Drosophila melanogaster: one gene and its partner. The protein of the gene in region 1 interacts with the protein of each later gene in a pairwise test. Each region holds a gene or a part of one and is shown on either strand. Other genes may lie near its edges. The genes, in order: SmE and SmF.

Evidence for each region.
Region 2: the proteins of SmE (region 1) and SmF interact in binary tests that used the Drosophila melanogaster proteins (3 or more experiments, as listed by UniProt).

Annotation. Positions count from the first base shown.
Region 1 is NT_033779.5:7,884,200-7,887,101, reverse strand, and holds SmE (small ribonucleoprotein particle protein SmE), read left to right. Parts: upstream 1-1,651; 5' UTR 1,652-1,758; coding exon 1,759-2,043; 3' UTR 2,044-2,172; downstream 2,173-2,902. Other genes in the region: CG34132 (uncharacterized protein), read right to left, coding at 1,127-1,225, 1,298-1,453; CG7102 (uncharacterized protein), read left to right, coding at 50-174, 405-567, 632-794, 2,314-2,447, 2,521-2,902. UniProt on the Drosophila melanogaster protein: Plays a role in pre-mRNA splicing as a core component of the spliceosomal U1, U2, U4 and U5 small nuclear ribonucleoproteins (snRNPs), the building blocks of the spliceosome.
Region 2 is NT_033778.4:12,183,228-12,186,465, reverse strand, and holds SmF (small ribonucleoprotein particle protein SmF), read left to right. Parts: upstream 1-2,155; 5' UTR 2,156-2,276; coding exon 2,277-2,543; 3' UTR 2,544-2,622; downstream 2,623-3,238. Other genes in the region: Cyp6g1 (cytochrome P450 6g1), read right to left, coding at 1-28. UniProt on the Drosophila melanogaster protein: Plays a role in pre-mRNA splicing as a core component of the spliceosomal U1, U2, U4 and U5 small nuclear ribonucleoproteins (snRNPs), the building blocks of the spliceosome.

The DNA of each region.
Region 1 (2,902 bases):
TGCAATTTTTTGAGCCCAAGAATACCGCACTTAATAATAAAAATCAATCATGAGTCTGCCCCAGTTGATCGAGGATCTGCAGCGCCTTTCCGAGGATCAGGATAGTGCAGATGTGGTATTCATTTGTGGCAGAGATGAGCGCATATATGCCCATAGATTAATGCTAATGGCTCGGTAAGTTAAATTGTTTTTTCAAACAAATACTTAAGAGATTAATAAATTTTGGTGATACCTTAAAATCTTATAAATGCCAATAACTGTATAATTTTTCTCTGTGGAATAAGATAATTGCCTACGGTTGCCTTTTTCGGAATCTTACAATGTTGCGTGCTGGAATCCCGGGTATTCCAGTTGGTCACTTAATTAATTTGTCTTGCCTTTCCATTCACTCAATTCGATTTCAGGTGCAAGAGCTTCAAGACTGCGAAGAGAGGTGAAGTGTGTCGAATTCCCGGATGCACAGTATCGCCAGCAGCCCCAGGAGCTTCAACTCCGACCACCATACGATTACCACACGTGAATCCGGAACTATTCAGGCAGTTCATCTTGTACGTTTACACCGCAAAGGTAAGAAAACTACTTATTAGTAACATCTAACATAATAAAATTATAACCAAAATTCATTTTTCAGTTGGTTCTCCAGGACTCGCAAGTATTTCAAATGATGATATTGGCACAGGATATCGGTGTGGTTGAGCTACGAACTGCCTGCGAGGATCACGTTATATCGACATTGTCGGTGGATAATGCCTGCACATTTTTAACCGCCGTTATGGATATACACGAAAAAGCAGGTTAGTAATATTGAGTAGCTCTTTTAGAAAATCACACCTTTAAAAGTAAGCAATTATGTGAAGTTGCATATTCGCGCCAAAACACTTTATACATTCTACATAATATGCTATGTCAAATGTATTGAGACTAACCATTCTGAAAGTTTTGGTATTTTTTGTACCACATCACATATCGATAAGAAAAAACATATGCACGTTGTGTTATCAGAATCACGTAACACGCAATGCATGTTTTTATTGCATTATCAAACTTTAGATATAACAACTAATCAATAGCTGGCAGATATAGTTAGTCCCAAGCTGCTCCAAAATGCAGAAGCCGATTCGTGTGTTTAGAACTTGGATTGTTCACGTTGTATTCTTTGGCCGTACACCCGAGAAATGAGGTTCCACGAGTCCATAAACCGGTCCATGCACATGGAAATGCATTTCTAAATTGGATATTAATGAAATACTATTTAAATACATATTCTATAGTGCAAAATAAGATATGTATAGCTTGCCTGTTCGGACGAATCGAGGGAAGTTCCCGGCTTATTGACACATTTTTTGAAGCACTTTTCGGTCATTTGCGTGAGCAATTCCTGGGCATTCGCAACAGCAATCTGTTGCTTAACCTGGTCCATAAGTTCACCTTTGTCCACATTAGCCATAGCCATTTGTTTGGTTTTCTTTATAAACTATAGTTTAATTCAGCTATGAATAAATGGCAACAACTTCTGCCCAACCACAAAAACTTAACAGTGCGATTGTGATAGTGTTTCTATCGATATGGTTATGCTACCAGAGGATTTACCATTTTGGTATCTTTAGGCTGGTCGATAGTTCGGTAGGCCGCGATTATGTGTGACCATCTGTGCTGTGCCATCGATATTTCTGCCTATCGCCTGGACGAAAAGAAGACGCCGGCAAAAAGAAGCGAAAATTTGTTTAACTCAAATTAAGTCGTCGGAAATCAGCAAAAATGTCGTTCAAAGGAAATCCCAAGGTGCAGAAGGTGATGGTGCAGCCCATCAACCTGATCTTCCGTTACCTGCAGAACCGGTCCCGCGTGCAAGTTTGGTTATACGAGAACATATCGCTGCGCATCGAGGGCCACATTGTGGGATTCGATGAGTACATGAATCTGGTGCTGGACGACGCCGAGGAAGTCTATGTGAAGACCCGGCAGCGCCGCAACCTCGGGAGGATCATGCTCAAGGGCGACAACATCACGCTCATACAGAACGTCAGTCCCACGAAGGACTAGGCGACTCAGCGGCCATCCTGCGAATCCTTCGAATTCCACCTGCAAACGCTGAACGCCCTTAATATAAGTAAAATAAATGTAAAGCCGATATCTGAAGACGAATGTTGAAATAAATGGTAGACTTTCTGTAATCAAGTGTTTCTAATGGGTAAGGTAGCAAATACGATCCGATTTCAGGACATATAGAATAGGATGCTGTCTCAAGGTAAAAGCCGTTGAGTGTCTTTAAAAAACAAGGAATTAATTTTAAACTTTCCCTTTAAATTTCAGGTGCCAAATGCGCTGCCTCGTTTATGGAACGCTGCATCATCTACATAGGGGAAAATGCAAATGAGTGCGTTAAGACTAATGCCTTCCTTACTTTAACAAAGGATGCCATTATTAAGATTATTTCCTCAGACTATGTAAGAGTTTATAATGAATAACCACTCAATTTACTGAATTTCTTTAATTACCAAAACTGTTAACTACCAATAGTTCTGCTTGGAAGAGGAGGAAGTGTGGCGCTGCGTTTTATCCTGGGCCAAATACCAGGCAGGAGTCACCCAACCCACTGCACATTGGACTGAGGAGGAGCGTGCTCGTGTCTGCCAACACTTAAGCGGTGTAATGGGTCACGTGCGTCTGCTTCTCATCGATAGCCAAGTTTTCGCGGAGGAAGTGGAACCTACAGGAGCTGTACCTATGGAACTATCCCTAGAACGATATCGCTATGCCGCTTTGCATGCCAATAAGATGATGGATAACGATAAGAGACTTCAGCCCCGCCTAGCTGTAGCGGTCAACATGTTTCCCGGATCCCAAATCCTGAAGAATGACAATCTGGCACTACAGACTGTTCTCAATAATTGGGTTGGAG
Region 2 (3,238 bases), on another chromosome or scaffold:
CCACAAAGAGGACCTCGGTCAACACCATTTTGGGGATGTCGATGTAATGGGTATCGCCACTCTGAAATTAATCGCTAAAACAATTAATCAAATGCCAGTGCCCTCAGCATTATCTTATCTCGATCGCATTTGAAACGGTCGATGGTTTCAAATGCAATCTAGAGTGTTTTGCTACCCATGTTTACCTAGATTTTATTAAATCAGCCGTCTTAATTATTTTTAGCTGGCATTATCTTTTCCATTCCAACGCGAATTACAATTAGTTATGATAGGGAGCATTACAATGAGTGTTTATGATACGCTTATAGTAATTCCCGCCATATCTACACCCAATTAAGCTGCTTGTAAAGCTAAATAGAAAATCTTTTCGGGCAGCAAATATGACACTAAAAATTTGCCAGCAAGGATTTCGTCCTAAGCTTTATTAATTATACATGAGACTACTATTTCTATAGAGCAAATGTCCAAAATATATTTCTTAGAAACCAGTTCTCTATTTATTTTAGTAACAGTAACAGTAACCAAGTAATCTTAATTTTCACAGTTGCCCTCAATTCCATATTAAGTGTGGTTTTTTCAAGGATATCACACTTTTTCAAATTAAAATATACAATTTTGTATACCGAATTTCATAACTTACTTTGAAAATATACAGGTTTTTTTAGTCACACAATTTATTTGCAACTGGCCTAATTCGCAACAAGTTTGTCCAGCAATTTCAAGGAAACTTTTATTGGATCTATAAATTCTGAGCACCCGCGTACACAACCGACAATTAAAGCTCTACGCACCGCACTTGGGGCGATTTGAAATGTTGTTTGCGTTTTTATACTCGAAAGTCTCAAAAGTTCTGAGATAGCAATTTCAAGTGCATACTTATAAATTCACCTGTGTGGTGGAAAAAGCTTTAAAATACGACAAACAAACCACAGCAAATCCAGAGGGACTCTAAGATAATTACAAGTCATGATTACATTTATTATAATGATTCTTAGTTTTAACAACCTTATTTACTTTTTGTGTGCTATGGTTTAGTTAGATTTTTAAAAGCGTTAACGCAATACATATACGATATGAAAAGTATTGCACGCTATAATCTATAAATAATTAAACACAACCGGCTTTCTCGTCAAGCTTTTGATGCATTTGTGAATTTCATTATTGTTGCGTTTGCTGCTTTATAGAAACAATTGCAAAATGCCTGGGCGAAATGACGGGATCAAATAAATCTATCAGATAGCTGCGTTCATAGCCAAGTTCCTTGAGGTAGAGCAGGCGATCCAGGAGAATTAGACTCTCCAGCACCGGAGCAAAGGACATGCGCAGCAGATAGAACAGATCCAAGAAGTATTTATGCACGGCATATTCCTGGAGCAGGGATTGAAGTTCTTCTTTCTCAACAGCTGCCAACCAGGGAGCATCCAATTTGGTGGCACACTTTTGAATGTACTCCTCGAAACTCTCGAATTTCCGTACCTTGCCCACCTGCAGTTCGTTTTTCAGCTCCGGCGCATGGCGGCAAACCAGAATCTCCAAGAGAGCTCGATAGTAGAGCGTTACATTAGGCAGCTCCTTGGTGTCCAAGGTGCGTTCAATTGACTGGGCCGCCAGCATCCGCGCATTGCGACCCATTCGCACTTGTCGCTCCCGCAGGTACTGACTCAATGGGAATCCATAGTCTGTTTGCAGCTCCATCAGGGACTTATTGCCAAAGAACTCCTGCTGCGAATAGCGCTCCCGCAGCAAATGATAGCAGCAGCCAACATTACAAAGCAACCGGCAGTCCGTTTGGGCGTGGAAAACCTGAAGACAGGTGGCGGCCAGGTTGCCACAGGTATGCAATCCAGTAAGGCAAATGTTTGGACTGTCTTCCGGTCTAAACTGAGTGAAATTCTCCGCCAGCAGGGCACCAAAGTTAAGTTCGGTGGTTATAAACTTTGCCGTTGTCTTGTAGTTTTCCAAGGCAGGCGCACTCTTGGTGCTCTCCCTGGCTGGCGACTTTTTACCACGTCTCTTGGGCGTGATTCCCTGGACTTGCAGCTCCGCTCGTTCCGTAAGGCCATTCCAAGCGCGCTGAAATTAAATAAAATTTTAATTTTGGCGCTTTTGAATGGTTTTTCAATACTCTTCTTCTATGCTATTCTTCTTCTTGTTCTGGTATGTTTACACAGCGCAGCTGTGGTCACACTACACAAAAAAAACGCGAAAAGCCGGCGATTTTCGGCACGCTTGTTGTAATATTTTATAAAAAAGGCAGGAAAAATCAAATAAACAGAATGTCGGCTGGTATGCCCATTAACCCCAAGCCCTTCCTGAACGGCCTGACGGGAAAACCGGTGCTGGTGAAGCTGAAGTGGGGCCAGGAGTACAAGGGCTTCCTGGTCTCCGTCGACGGCTACATGAACATGCAGCTGGCGAACACGGAGGAAGTGATCGAGGGCTCCGTGACTGGTAATCTTGGCGAGGTGCTCATCCGCTGCAACAACGTGCTGTATATCAAGGGCATGGAGGACGACGACGAGGAGGGCGAAATGCGCGACTAGCCAATGGATTCACCTACATACACCCACACCTTACTTCTAAGTCTACAAACGTAATGAAATAAAGCTAACTTTATTTTGTAAGCCCGGCCTACCTGCAATTTGCGATTCCTATTCAATGCGTTCTCGGTGTTTGCCGCGTTCGCATCGATGCCGAGCACGCGGTGACCATACTGGAGCGCCAAGCGCGAGGATAAATACCCTTTGCCATCGCCCGCGTCTACAATGAAGCAATCTTGACCGGAGTTCTTCACAAGCTGGTCCACGAGAACGGCTGTTAGATCCACCTAATCGGAGAGATTAATCAATTCCTAAAATACTCTCATTTAAAATGGTTGGTTTACTTACCTCATGGCACTTTTTGGCGCTCATAAACTCCCGAATGCTTAGCTGCGTGGAGTTCCCCTGACCCTCTGAAGCGACAGGCGTTCTTGTTTGCTCTTGCCTAGGAATTCTCGCCATGCCGGAAACCTTTCTGATTCATCAGTTTTCCAAAATAGGTCTTCTATGGCCAGAGCCACATCTTCCTTGCCGGCGATCTCACTTTTCAGCGTTTCGGATAAAAAGCCGTCCCAGTGCTGGTCCGTCAAGTAGTTCACCATGTGGCAATTGACAAAATCCCAGTGCGGATTGAGGAAGGCCAGTAAGCCATCCAGACGCCTCTGCAACTGCACAACTCCCACCTTGGACATGGTGCT